3 linked regions of the Caenorhabditis elegans genome follow. The protein of the gene in region 3 interacts with the protein of the main gene of each other region in a pairwise test. Each region holds a gene or a part of one and is shown on either strand. Other genes may lie near its edges.

Evidence for each region. Proteins that work in one complex are often made in the same cells at the same time.
Region 1: the proteins of M03B6.3 (region 3) and rnf-113 interact in a two-hybrid assay, tested with the Caenorhabditis elegans proteins (one large-scale study listed by BioGRID).
Region 2: the proteins of M03B6.3 (region 3) and kin-4 interact in a two-hybrid assay, tested with the Caenorhabditis elegans proteins (one large-scale study listed by BioGRID).

The regions. Positions count from the first base shown.
Region 1 is NC_003281.10:10,755,091-10,759,493, forward strand, and holds rnf-113 (putative E3 ubiquitin-protein ligase rnf113), read right to left. Parts: upstream 2,551-4,403; 5' UTR 2,548-2,550; coding exon 2,410-2,547; intron 2,347-2,409; coding exon 1,614-2,346; intron 892-1,613; coding exon 608-891; 3' UTR 534-607; downstream 1-533. Other genes in the region: Chromobox protein homolog hpl-2, read right to left, coding at 1-104, 379-420; K01G5.10 (Haloacid dehalogenase-like hydrolase domain-containing protein 3), read right to left, coding at 2,586-2,945, 2,996-3,094, 3,141-3,428. UniProt on the Caenorhabditis elegans protein: May function as E3 ubiquitin-protein ligase that catalyzes the transfer of ubiquitin onto target proteins.
Region 2 is NC_003282.8:11,423,836-11,428,774, reverse strand, and holds the start of kin-4 (non-specific serine/threonine protein kinase), read right to left. Parts: upstream 3,034-4,939; coding exon 2,975-3,033; intron 2,642-2,974; exon of another isoform or gene 2,621-2,641; intron 1-2,620. Other genes in the region: F22B3.8 (Tyrosine-protein kinase), read left to right, coding at 3,890-3,895, 4,078-4,223, 4,271-4,494, 4,642-4,835, 4,886-4,939.
Region 3 is NC_003284.9:13,860,722-13,866,244, forward strand, and holds M03B6.3 (uncharacterized protein), read right to left. Parts: upstream 3,572-5,523; 5' UTR 3,568-3,571; coding exon 3,407-3,567; intron 3,360-3,406; coding exon 3,171-3,359; intron 2,968-3,170; coding exon 2,517-2,967; intron 2,207-2,516; coding exon 2,042-2,206; intron 1,993-2,041; coding exon 1,900-1,992; intron 1,850-1,899; coding exon 1,805-1,849; intron 1,708-1,804; coding exon 1,430-1,707; intron 1,342-1,429; coding exon 1,007-1,341; intron 923-1,006; coding exon 768-922; intron 714-767; coding exon 657-713; 3' UTR 556-656; downstream 1-555. Other genes in the region: M03B6.4 (uncharacterized protein), read left to right, coding at 1-150; hlb-1 (Liprin-beta homolog), read right to left, coding at 4,818-4,856, 5,023-5,133, 5,185-5,373.

The DNA.
Region 1 (4,403 bases), on a different chromosome or scaffold from region 3:
GAGTCAGACTCGGGGAATCCTTGCCACTGTATGAGAAATTCGTCTCTGCCGGCTTTTCCAGTTCGCTTGTCCAGCACTTTTTCCACCATGAACACGTTGTCCTTCTGGAAATCAGATTTTTGAATAAAATGTGACTTTTTTTTTCTTTGTCGGGGAACTTATACTGTCGCTTTGTTTCTAGCAAAATTGGATTTTTTATGCAAAAATAGATTTTTTGTTGCAAAATTGTTTTTTTAAAATATTTTTTTTAGTGCAAAAATTGATTTATTGTTTTTTTGCAAAATGGACTGTTTTTTGGTTTTTTTTCGTTGCAAAATTGTATTTTTTAGTTTTTTTTGTTGTAAAAATAGATTTTTTGGTTTTTTCGCCGTTCCATACCGGATCTTCGATTTTTGCTCGCTTTGTTGATTTGCTCGACATTTTTGAAATTGCTGAAATAAATTTGAGCTAAAATGGGAGAAATCTGAAAAAACATAGAAAAAATATGGAATAAAGATTCGAACAATATCTTGAAATTAAAAAAAGGCTCGAACAAGAAAAAAAATCATATTTAGTTTACTCACAGACAATCACCGTACAGAAATATTTAAAAAAAAAATAAAAATTATCAATCTTTTTCAGCATCATCATCATCACTCTCAGAGTCATTTTCTCCACCTTCAAGCCCTTCCACATCCTCCATCATAATCTCCTGTTCCTCATCGCTCTTCTCCTCGGCTTCTGGAACATTTGAGTCGTTTTCAGGCTCCTCGGGCTCATCTTCGTGATCATGATGATGGTGATCGTCGCATTCGTGTGGTTTTTCATCATCGTCACTATCTTTTTCTTCTTCCTGTTTCTCGGCTTCTTGCTTCTGTTGTTGCTTCTTCCGTTTCAGGTAGGTTAGGAGCTCTGAAAATTTAAAAATTAATTTTTTTTTGCCACATTTTTCGAGCTACTATCTTGTGAATTTCGCAAGTTTTGGATTAAAAGCGCGGTTTGTTGCATGTAAATTTACGAAGGATTTTGTACTTCACCCGGACAACTGTGAGTTATTGGCTGAAATTTACTTTTTTGAACTATTTTCGCTGATTCTCTTCCAACATTCCAAATTACCAAAGAAATGAGTTTTCCAAAAAGCAGAAAAAGAGGCGGAACGTAATTTTGCAACCAATTTTGCAACCATGCGGCACGGTTTTCCTTTTTCTTTTTTGGGGTTTTTCCATAAAAGTTTCGATTTTATTCCTTTTAATTCACATTAGATTGGGAGGATATTTCAAGCTAAATTGGTTGTAAAAATATGAACTATAATCGAAATGTTATGCGAATTAAATTTGATTTTTTTCTCGTAAAAAAAAATAAAACAGGAAGAATCGAAGTTTTTTGGAAAAAAAAACCAGAAAAAAAACCAAAAAAAAAAACAGTGGAAAATTGTCGAAAAATCGTGCCGCAGAGTTGCGAAATTAGGCTCCTCCTCTCTTTCTAGTTATAATGTCTTATTATTGTCCAAAAAATGTGAAAAAAGATTCACGCTTGTCCACGTGCAGTATCCTCCGTAACATGTAAGTATCAAACTGCGCCGAAAAACCTTCCAAAACTTGCGAAAATCACGAATTAATCGTTCTATTTCAAACCTTTTGCGGTATTCATAATATTCTCAGTATTCTGCTGACATATTGGGCATTTTGACGACTTTTGGAACGATTTCAACGCACAACCGGTGCAAAAGTAGTGCTTGCATTTTGTCACGATCGGATCAACAAATGGATTTCCGCAAATAAAACAATCCTCCGGAAACGTATCGTCGCCTTCATGAATCTCGTAATTCGCATCGTCTTCAGCACCATATTTTCCTGCTTCGTACTCCTCATCAATCTCCCATCCGTGTTTATAGTCCGATCGGTCGTGCACAAATTTACACGAATCTCCAAACGTACAGAATCCAGTCTCCTTGTAATCCTTGCAAATATCCGGTGCAAAATCCCAACGGACTGTTTGTCGTAGAAATTGTGGCGCCCGAACGGGCCCAACTCGATTATAACCACTTGCAGCGTTTCCCTTGGCCGTATCCTTCGCCTCTTTGGCTCCATACAGTGCACTTCCCTTGTACAGAATTTTTCCGTCTTTCTCGACGCCTTCCTTCAGTTGCTGTTGGACTCGTTCGAATTGAGCCTGGGCATCGTGTGAATAGTCTGTGTCCACTTCGAGTGTTGCAGTGGCACCTTGATCACGTGGTCCAGATGGACCGGCATCTCCTGAAGCGGCGAACGAGTGAGTTGCTACTGCGATATCCTGATTGTCGTCAGAGTCGTCAGAATCATCCGATGAATTATCAGCACGTCGTGTTGAGGCGTCTAGTTGTTTGGTCTGAATTTCAAAGTTTATTGGGATTTTCCAAAATTTTGGAGCACTAAAGTACCAAGATCTCACCGACTGGACCATCGGATTCGTACGACGTCGCTTTTGAATCACATCCTTCACTTCTGAATCTTGATCCTCATCACTTGAGCTTTCCTTTTTACGAACGACGGGTGCATTGCGCTTTTTCGGTTTTCGGAAGAGATCCATTATCTGAAAAATTAAAACTATTTATTAAATTCAATTAATTAATAAAGCTTCAAATCTGACAAACGAGAAATACAATAAAACGGTTCAACATTATGAGAGGAAGATGAATCAAACAATAGAGCTCTACAGCCGAAATTTTTGGCGCCATGGAAATCATTTTTCAAATTGTCTCCAATGTGCAAGATTTCCGAGGGAGAAATTAGATCGAAATGGTTGACAACTAGCTGGAAGATCTTCTCATCGGGCTTTTCGTACCCAATTTCGCCGGAGAGAACTGTCATGGAGAAAAGATCGAGTAAATTGAATTGAGAAAGTAGAGATTTCAAGCGACTATCGAAATTGGAGATGACAACCAGGATGATTCCTTTCAGGCGAAGTTTTTGCAGAGTTTGGCGCGTCTAAAATGAAAAATTGCAGTATTTTTTTTTCAACAATTCACAAAATTTACATCGCTTTCAACTAGTTTCCACGGCTCAGGAGTTGCATAGTGATTGTACAAAGCTCCAGCGATCACTTCAACCCGTCCTTTTTCAGAATCCGGAGCACACTGAAACTATCAAGTAGGGGACTTGCCTAATTCAGATTACACCTACATCCAAAAGCGTAGAAGAAACTACTTCAATCCACCAACTTTTGTTTCCAATTCCATTGAACCCAAAGCAGGGCGATGCGATGCTCATTCGTTTATAATTTTTAAGAAAGCTTCCCATGATTTGATCGGAGTCGACTTCCAAATCATATTGCCTCGCGAAACGGGAATAAACTATCGGTGGAGACTCTTTCATCGTGATTAGTGTATCACGAGCATCTAGGGAGAGAACTTTCACGACTGGAGGGGTGGAAAGGTTACGAGAAGTTGTACGGAGCAGGTTGGAGAGCATTGAGCTAAATATGGAAATCTAGAGTTTTTTTTAGATTTCCAAAGAAAAGGTTAGTGTGTTGATTGAAAATTTTCCTCCAAATTGGCCGAAAACAATATTTTAACGACGGAAATACTGCATTTTAACTATTTAAATGACGATTTCGTAGAAAATAATATTGGAAGTATCGGAAATCGATTTTTCGAATTCAAACATCAGGAATTTTTGAGAAGTTTTTCGAGATGCATAGGGATAACACTAGGCTTCTTAAAAGAAAAAAGGTTTTTGCATCCGAATTTCAGAGATATTTCTGTAGAAAAAAAAGAGTTCAATTTACTGTTCAAACTCTCCAAATAACGATTTCTCAGCCAAAATCAATTAATTTCCAACACCTGATTTTGAACAGAATAACAATTTTTGAACAATTTAAAAGAAATCTTATCACAAAATTCGTTCATTTTGGCTTGCTTCGAGTATTTAGAAGGAAAAACTAGAGATTTCCTTGACTCCACTTGTTTCATCGATTAGGAATACTTTATCTAAAGATATTTTTTATATTTAAACCTATTTCTTTATTTAAAATCCAAAATCGCAAGAAATCCCTCATAAATTCGTCAAAAACAAAAATAAACTAAAAAAACACTTTTAAAAAATCGATAAAATTCGAAAGACCCGCGTGCGGCACGGAAAAAGTGGGCGGAGTGCGCCGAACGCAAACCACTCGCACACTTCTCATACACTCCGCCACAACACGCTCCACCGGAGTGTGTGACACAGCGCGCCAACTTGAAAATGGCCGAGAGAGTGTCTCGTGCTCAGGTCATGCGCGGCCTAGTTTTACCATGTGATTTTGACGCCAATTCAAATGATCACATTTCCTCGTGCTTTGCAGCGCTCCTTCTCCTCGTCCAAACCCGTCGAACTCGTGCTTTTCTCATCGCAAAACTGCTCGCTGTGCGTACATTTTCACAGACAACTCAAAAACTATCTTAAAAA
Region 2 (4,939 bases), on a different chromosome or scaffold from region 3:
TTGATGATACTCATAAAAATTCTAATTCCTAAAATTCAACGGAAGACGCCATTCCTCCTCATATTTGGGCGATGTCGCTTCTTTCAGCCTCTTCAACGATCTCCTCGCGCCGTGGTTCTCAGCCAAGTGTAAATATTCTCAATTTTTAGTTCATAAAAATCTAGAAAAATCAAAAAGCTAACTTGAATACTTAAATGGATGTTCTCTTTTCTCTTTCTAATCTACTTTCATCATTCAATTTGATATGACATTCCCTAATGCATAGTGATATTTGAATGAACGAGACAATTAGAAGAACACCCAATTGATTCAATTTTATACTTTAAGGGTTTGAATTTCTTTCAAGACAACAAAAGAAACAAAATTAAAAAGGAGAGAATGAGAAAGTAGGGCTTGCTGATGTAAACTTTTCTTAAAATTAAAATTGAGCATTGCACCTGCCAACTGATACGCAAGAAGAAACTTATTCGAGCTAAAAAAGGCATTCGAGCAGAAAATGCATTTTATTCATCTCTGAATATCATATTAAATTGTTAAATTGTTTGATAGCGGAAACGAATATGAATCGGAAATGAGATGATTCCATACTCTTCGAACAATTTATTCACGTTATTTTTAGAGGAGGAAGAGGAGGAAGCTTGATAGTTCAAAGGGTATTTCAAAGAGGCATTCTGTCTGGAAGCTTTGAATTTTCAAAATCAATGACTAATCGATATTTCAATTTTTTAACCTCCTTGATTTACAACAATCGTTCTATCGGTGAACCAAATTCAGTTAACACAAACCATTGATTTTAAAGTTTCAAAGATTTTTGTTTTCCTTTAGTAGAGAAAAAATCAAAGAATTCAAGTATGTTGCCATCAATTTTCAGTAAAAAAGTGGCAAACAAAATTTGAAGAGCTAGGTGCATTTCTACAACAATTTTTAAGTCCTAATTTTCAAAGTTTAAAGTCTTATTCTTTGATTTTTATTTTGAATTTCATTGATAATGTTCAAAGTATTTCCAGTGAGTCATTTTGGCAGAAAGAAGAACATTCTCCGAGCATGAAGCCATGTTGATCAGATAAATGACGCGAGTCAAGTGCAAAAGATTATTGTGTTATACTTTTTTATTTGATACTGAAAATTGTAACCTTTTCAACTGAGAGATTGGTTAAATGTACCTGTGTTTCAGAAATATTTTAAACCTATGCTCGGAGAATGCTTGACATTTTTTTCAAAATAAGTTCTGATAAAGAGCTTTCGATAAGAATTCAACAAGCATCTGCTGGCGGATGTACATAGGAGAGGGAGAAAAAAGAATACTCATAAAAATACATTTAGAATTGCACAAAAAAGTTGAGTTTGGAAAAATTTTAATTCGAAAAATACCCAAACCACAGAACAGGTACTACTTTTGTAGCGAAACTATATGACTTCCATGGCAGTAAGTCCAATATTTTTAAAGAATAAATAATTGGCATAACTTTTAGAAAACAAGAGGCATTTAGACTGCGAAAGTGTATTGCACTTCAAAATTTGAAGCAATTTATTATCTTAATTTTTCTGAAATCGGACAAGAAAAGAAGAAGTGAAAGGAGGCAAAAAAGACGAAGCTGAGCCAATCGATGGCCAAATTTTTTAGAACGACAACGACTGAAGACGACTTAAAAATATGAGCATACGGATAAACAGGGAGATTAACTGGCATCCGCCAACAGATTCACCATGCAAAGGATTAACTGTCAACTATAACATTTCTTTTATTTTCTCCTTTTTATAGAAAATATATTTATTCACTATTTCATCCAGGTTCGTCCGTTGACGTACTACAGCTATGCAACCAGATTTATTCGAATAAAAAGAATATCGTGATCTTCACAATGAAGCTCGTATTTCTATTTCAAAAACTTGACTCATTTTTAAGTAGTGATGAGATGCAATAACATTAAAATTTAGGTGCTTACGTAATAACCGGGCCAATCGGAAACAAGACGAAATCTAAAACGAACGCATTTGCAAAGTCGAGCTACTGGCTACTAGTGAAGATTTTTAATTTACATCGAGTTGAAAAATAAAGATAAAATAATAAAAATAAAGATGTTTATGATCCATGTTCTTGATTAGGATACATATTATAATACTTCGGAAATGACATACATACATAGGTATGCATACAAGAAGCAATATCGCTTCATTAACAAACTATCCTAGATCATAATTTAAAGAAAAATGTTACACTTTCAGTAATTGGACTTTGTCTCAATTTTTCTCTATTTAATGTATCCTGGCATACAAAGCGTATTATAGAAAAACCGTTTCCGAAAAATTTTAGTTTTTCAGATATTTCGAAAACAATTCGATTTTTGCAAAAATATATTAACATTTTGACCATTTTCCTTTTTTTTCAGAGAAAACATTTCATGTTTTTTCTCATCAAAATGAACAACTTTTGGTAATTTTTTAGTTTTTTTGTTAATTTTCTAAAAAAATTTTTCTTTAACTATAGAAAAAAAATAAAGAATATTGAAATAATTTTAGCGGTTTTGGAAAAAAAAAACATTATCTGCATCGAAATTCGACATAAAAAATATTTGCAAATAAAATTTTCAACTTATTCTTGATAACTTAAAAGCTTAATTACATGGACAATAATATGCAATTGATTTATAATTAAATTGAAAGTTAAAAATAAAAGAATAAAACAGTTAGAACAAATTCTACCATCATGACTTTTACAGAAACTTTGACACGAAAAAACAAAAAACCACAATAAAACGCTGTTCTCTATTATTTCCGCTTTCATCGAACGAAGAAGAAAATCATCCGACAATCGGCAATTCTATGCACGCAAAACATAAAAAGAACTGACAGAGACATGTGCAAAGAGATTTTTTTTAGGGGGAGATTTCTATTGCAATGAGAGAGATAATATCTTGTTTTATAGGTTGCATTTTTACTTTTTTCGGTTTGGTAAGATACACTCAGAACTCACTTTTCTGTTGCATTACTTGGGCTCTTCTTTTGATACATAACGACTCCAAAATTGAGCATTTGATTCTGAAACTATAGAAAAAAAAAAAGATTGGCTAGAAACAAAAATAAAAAGTTAGATTGGAGTTTTTGGAGGGAAACGTTGAGTAGGCGAAACGCCGGAGCTTATCAATCACTATGGGCAGTTGAGTGGAGAGAGATTTGTGATGTGAATAAAATTATAAATAAATTGAAAGTATTTCTGATCCTCTCACTCTCTCTTTCTTTCCTGTTCTCAACATTCACCTCTACTAATCCCCTTTTTCCAGCTCATCACAAGGTTGCTCTTCGTTTTCTGATTTTGTGTGCTCATGGATTACTGTAACATTTCTAGATTTAGATAATGGTAAAGTGTATGGTGAATGGTGACATATCCGAAAACATGAAACTTGAAAATATTAATCTAGTTAAATACTTCTGCCGTTGACATTTGAGACCAGCTATTATAATAATCTCCTTTTTTCCACTCTATAAGCAACAATTTTCAATATTTTGACATCCTGTGAATTGCAAAAAATGAATATATTTTCTAAGGGGTTCGATAGTAGACATGAATTTTTCAGACGTGCTCGCCTGCCTGCTTGCCGCTGATGAAAGGTTTGATAGGAAGATGCTAAATTATGGCAGGAGTAGGAAGTTGTTCCTAACTGTCGAGCAGTGACTTTGCACTTTGTTGTCAGGAAAATTTGGTTTAACCGTTAATCCTTCAGATGAAGTTTGATTCCTGGAAGTTTTCTGAATTTGAGTTGTATCACTGTCTGTATGTTTAAATACATAAACTCCCGTGAAAAAAATTGAAAAAAAAAACAAATACGACGAGGCAAACTTATTTATTTCCCAATATAATTTTACTCAAAATCGTCGTAAAATTTTTGCAATGAAGGTGAGTTGGAGTGCGGGAGTTCGAGCCTGCCTGTACCTGGCTACGCGTCTACCTGAAAATAAAATAAGACATCAGAAATTCTAGAATAAGTTTCCTGCAATGGGTCGCCTGTAGTATGATTATTTAAAAAAAAGACAAATTCGGTATTCCTGGTATAGTAAAATGTAATTTTCAATTTTCAGAAATCTGAGAAAAAAGAATGTAAGAGTGAAACGACCGAAAAGACTGAAAGGACAACAGATGGCAGCAGTATTTCAAACTCAGTTATGATCAATTTTCCGGACGACTCAATGTATCAAAATGTAGAAAAAACTAAAAGCGTTGGAAGGTGAGCAACTTTATCCCAAATATCCCAAAACACTTTTTAATTTCCAGAGTAACTAATGAAATGATTGACAATTATTTATTGAGATACCAATTTTTCCATGGTTTTGTGCTCCAAGAGCTACAACTGATCTTGTTGAAGACGAACGGAGACTTTCTCCTGAGATTGTCGCATCAACCAGAGAAGAATGCGAAGAAGCCGACGACTCCGGACAAAAGTGCCACTGATCCGATTCCACTGACTCGTGTCATTCTTGTTCTGTCCGTCAATATCAGTTTGTTTTATTTTTTGTTTTTTTAACTTCCTAGCAGCTTGGAAACTTATTCAATGAACTTCTCATAAGTTGTCAAGCTGTTGCGGGGAACTTGCCCTCACTGTTCGTTGAAAAACTCTAGATTTTACAATTATGTTCCCTATTCAGCACAAAAAACCGGCACCACACGAAGTTTCTATGGGGATCTGGAGGATGTGAAGAAAGAGAACATGGATATGCATTTGTTTATTGAAGAAACCGCCGGCAAATGGACCTCGTTTTATATTGAGCGGCGATTCAAGTTTCCGACTATTGATGAGCTTATCAACTACTATAAGGTCAACCCGATTTGCTATCACAATGTATGTTTGAGTGCTTTTCTAGCCATTTCCAGACGGTCTTTAATTTTCAGACACGTGTATTCTTGAAACGCCCTATCGTGCTACAAGACTGGGAGCTCCGGGCA
Region 3 (5,523 bases):
TGGGGAACTATCATGTGCAGTCTGATAGTCTACTTGTCGTTTGCTTGGCTCTTTGGAGCAACATGCAACTTTGCAATGTTCGCAGCTGCTGCCATTTTTACCAAAGCCATTGCTACAGTGATTCAAGGCATTGTATGTCTTGTTGAATAGTTTTGCTCAAGCTTATGGATATACTTGTTTTATTTCGGCAATGTTGTTAATCTCTTCATATTTTTACTCGACTAGCATTTTTATCTCTGCATAATGGTATCGTAATGTCGTAATTTTTTGATACGCTGACTACAAGACGCATTGATGTATGAATACGTATCTCGATACTAAATAAAATGATTATAATAGCAATATTTATCTTCGTGGCAATGGTTTTTTTTTAAATTTTTTTGTAAGCAGAAAACATAATATTCAAGAATCACTCCTTAAATTTCCCAAAAAAAAAAACTACGAGTTACGAAGATTAATTTTTCTCACAACGAGAAGTATCCGATTAAATCTTTTAAGTGTGCGTATCAGACAATTGTGCGTTCCCGATACCTTGTAGTGCCTTTTATCGCATATCAGCAATACTAATTTATTATCAAACAACAATAAATCTTGTCATCTTCTTATTAATTTGTACAATTATTAGGGAAATTGAAATATTATAACCCATGACGAGATCAGCAGTCTCCGAAGTTGACCACATTTAGGGAGTTCATTTCCTTCTTGGCAATTTTCTGAACATTTGGAACATTTTACAGTAAAATCTCAACCGGGTTATGTGAACTTACGTTTTTCAGATATTTTTGAAGATTTTTATTTGGATGATCGAAGAATTCTTGTGGGTCTCTGACAAGGAGAGCGACATCTTTGCAGTTTCCTTGGCTGTTGGTCACAAGAAGATGTTCATAAGAGGAAGAAGTTTCTCCGGATTTGAGAACACAGACTGGAAATTGAGAATATTGAATTAATATTATAGTTTAAAGAACTTATAGGATATTAAAAATATTTCAACAAAATAAAAACTAACATGGGAAGCTGAAATTTTCTCCGTTAAAATCTGCCATTTGAACTCTAACTGATTCATGATCCATTGTCAGCGCACTACCACGAAGTCTAAAGAGCTTTGGAGCTCCGTGAGTTCTGAATTGCCAGATTAATCGAGCATCTTGTGCGGCAACCGAATGTTTTCCCGCGGAAACGTCGAATCTTGAGCATGTAAGGGCCTCTGTTCCCTCTAAAAGAACGTTTGCTTTTTCTTGGATTGCTTGGACCACGTTTGGAGAAGCCAAAGCCATAAGCCACTTCCCGTTCATTTTCTCAAGGGAAATTTGCTCACAGTCACACTTGGAAACAAATTCATCGCTGAAACCAACATTTTTTAGAACAATGAGAGTCTACAAATCGTGAATTCACAAAATATGCATATTCTAATTCAACTAATATAACTCACTCTTCTCTGTCAACTGAAGTGCTCGGTGGAATGACTGGAGTAGCTTCAGTAACCACCGGAGTTGGAGAATACCGGATATGATTGCGAAGAGCGCTGCTGAGTTTTGCTGGCGGTGGAACTGGCATCATTTGTTGCTCAACGAGGTTTTCGCGCTCTTCGGTAAGCTTACGCTCGTGAGAAGATGCAACAATAAATGCTGGTGGTTCATCTGTGTTTTCTGACACTGCTGGGGCTGGAGTAGGCTGAGCTAGTGGCGCTGGTGGAGATGGTGGATAACCCTGAAAATGCAAGTAATTTAAGCAAGCTTGATTTTGAAAAATTTGAAGTTTCTATCATAGATTAAAAATTCAAATTGACAGTTTTTGTATGACTCACCAAGTTTTCCAATTGCAAGTCTGTTGGCAATGGCGCTGGTGGTCTCTAAAAAATACTAAACTTTAAAAAAAATTTATTTTGACCATCATTATTACCGGTTGATTTGGCCCAAACGAACTATGCCAATTGCTGAGCTGCTCCTTCAGTCTTTGCTCCATTTGTTGCTTTTCTTCCTCCAATTGTTTTTCCTAAATTGAAGAATGAAATTTAGTTTTTTTCGCACGCCTTGCTACTCACCTTTTTCCTCAACTCTTCTTCCATTTTCTTCTGAACCTCGATTTTCATGCGTTGCTCGGTGAGCTCAGTCTGGAGGACTTCTAACTGTTTACGTCTAGTCAGAAGTTCCTTAGTTTGCAAAGTTTGTTCGTATGTTTGGAGAATGTTTTGAAGGCGTTTCACATCCTGAAAAAAACATTATTAAAGGAGCAGTTATTATCGACTTTCCATTTTTCACGTAGTCGAACACTGAGAAAAGCATAAACTTTCAATTCGAATCAGTTTTTAAGCAGTACAAAAATAAAAAATAAAACAAAAGAATCAAATCGAATATTGGAAGTAACAGCTTATCAGAAAATTATTAAATTGAAGCGATGAATGAAGGGTCAATTGATGATGATTTTCAATAAATAAGATTTATAGTTCAGTATGCCTTAGTCAAACTTCTATTTTAAAGTCATTATCGCTGAACAAGCAAAATTATCTCATCACTTACATCAACACCAAGACCATATGCTCCCTTTGTGCGAAGATTCGTGACAACCTCGTCAATTGCTGGATCCAGTGGTTGCATGTATCCTGGTGGTCCAATATCCATAGGTCCCATTGAGTTCAGTGATGCCTGCGGGCTCTCGAATCGTTGTGGTGCTCGTCTCAACAAAGCGTTCACTTCGGCCATTCTTCTGGGATCGACTAAATTCATATCAATAGAATTTGACAGATCAGCGTGAGGTCTTGGTGGCTCTGTGCCCTCTCGCTCTTTCAGTTTTTGAAAAACAACTTCTGCAATGTTTTCAGGATTGAGTGGAACTGTGGAAGTTGGTGGGGCAATTGTTGTGTAGCCAAGCCTCTCGAGCTGGAACTTTCTTGCGTATCTGTCCCAATCCTTGACTTTAACTCCATCGACATACATTTCCTTTGCTTTAGTTGTAGGAGGTTGTGAAGTGCTAAACATTAATGGTGCTTGTGATAACTTTGATTGTACTCGACTAATTTATCTGGCATTTTGACAAAACTTAATAAAGTATTTTCTCAACAATGAGTGCAAAAATAAATTAATAATGGTTTCATATACAACGCATTTCATTTTCTTCTTATACAAACTTGACTGTTTTATTATTTTAGTACAATCCATTAAAAAAAAACTCACAATGCATCTAAAAACTTGAACGCAGCTTTCGATGTTCCATTCATGCCTGGCAAATCTAAAGGAGTACCAAAATCAGTCTTGTTAATGCCTAGATCTTCTAGCGGCACTCCAATATTTTTAGCAACACCAAAAGGGTTAACCACCAATTCACTTAGCATTCCACCTCCTAGCATGTTTGTCAACATCTTCCTGAATAAAAAATAACTATACGGGGTATGTTAAGTTTGGCTTGTTACTTTAGCTCATCTGGATTTCCTTCCATCTGTCCTTTAATCACATTTCCAATGTTTGGTAAAGTCTGCACAATTCTTTCCATAAATGGTGGTTTTGAAGAACTTTCCTCATCCTGAGCAAAAACTGCTATCACCAATAGTGATAATAGGAGATAACTCCTCATGCTTCTGAAAAAAGTATTATTATCATGGAATGAGAAATGAGTGACAATGAAAATCCCGAAAAAGGGAAATGTGAAAGTGAAAAGTGAAAATGAAGAAATGAAGGTGAATTTGTTTCAAACGGAGGGCGTGGACAAATCGTGTTGGGATAAGAGACACACAACGCGCTCCTCAAATTGGGTCGCTATCATGATTGTCGAAGTCGCGAAATGGGAGAAGCATAGGAAGATTACGTTCCGTTTTCACTCGGACTAGGTCAATTTTCCGTTTCATTATCACTTATCTTTTGCTTGATGACCTATTGGAAAATGGAAAAGAAAAAGCTGAATGATGACACTTCTGACACTTTTTTGGGGCTTTGTGTACATGGAAAGCATGACATTTTTGTTGAAATTGTATGCTGGTTACTTCCCTGCTGATGTGTGGTAACATGATGTCTAAGTTTGAGAACATTTCATGAACCGTTTTCAGTTTTCTGGTAACATTCTTCTTTCAAGAAGTTGATATAACAACTCCCTGATCAAATTACTTACAATTTTTTATATAAAAATTTGCTGAACGCTGATAGTAGCAGTTTTAAACAAAAATTGTTGTGACCAAAAAAATGTTATAAAAAATTAAAATTTTGTGAGCCCATATTGTTTGTCAGTTTAAGCGCAGCAATCATTAACAATTATTATTATTATTGGTTTTATTTTCACTTGACTAACTTATTGATTTTCGAGCAGTGTAAATGTAAATAGGAAAATTTGAAATTTAAGAATTTATTTTAACTTTGTATATTCATGGAAATAGCACAAGGGAAGACAAACTTTGAATGAATGACCAATAATTTGAACGGAAGAAAAATGAAACATACATTGGAAACATATGAAATAAGTCACATGAAAAAGTTGAGGTTCATCTCAGAAAATGGATGAACCAATTGTTGCGTGGAAGGTGGGTGTGAGTGGAGAGGTTGTAGTGAGGGTTGATCTACAATTCAGCTCAAAATAAGTTTGGTTGGGTATGAAAATGGATTTGGATTTTCAGGAAATAAAGAATAAAAATAGAAAATTTTTGCACGATAACAATTAAGTGTATGATGAATGGTTTTAATGATGGAAATGCAAGGGACTCGCAATGAAAGATAGATTCAAGACTCAGTGTTTAATTACAGACAGCGGGATTTGGTGTTTCTCTTGGTAAAACAGTTTTTGAAAGATAAATGTCATGATGCATGGCTTCTTGGTTCCTACTACTTTGATCACGACTACACGTTTGACGATTCAAATGAACTATTGTCTCCGGCCTGAAAATGGGTTGGTTTTATGTAGAGAAATACAAAATGATATTATGCAAAGTTACTATTGTCATAAATAATAAAAAAATATTCGGAAGCTTTGTAGTCAATTTTTAAACAATATTTTGTTTCCCAGAATTTGATAGTCTCACTAGCTTAATGTCTAATTACATACCCCAGTGGGATACTTGTGTACCAACACCTGTGGACAAAGCAGCTCTTCTGGCTCCAAGCAAATCTCATTCTTTGCCTTTTTTCTAGTCAACGAGAATCCTTTCTTGACGACCTGCAAAAATTGTGCGTCCGTGTGACTCGCTTCACTTTCCCAAATTCTCACCTTTACCCTTCCTGTCGGGGAGATTTGCGGATAGTTGCCGGCTGCTAGAAAATCTCGCTTATCGGCAATAATCTTCGGGCCGAGAAGTTGATTGAAATGCGATGTCAAGTGACGTCGGAGAAGCGTCTTATGCGGAGGCATCTGTAGGATTTCCGCAAGGGATTCGGCAGTGAATGATGGTTCATATATCTGGAAATTGAACATACAAGAAGAATCTATCAACAAAAAGTTGCTTAACAATACTGTTGATGTTAATGTAGGAATGTCGTCCATATGCCTGACATACTTCCCAATTTAAAATTCAATTGCAAAATATGTGGCACCAAATTTTTGCCCAAC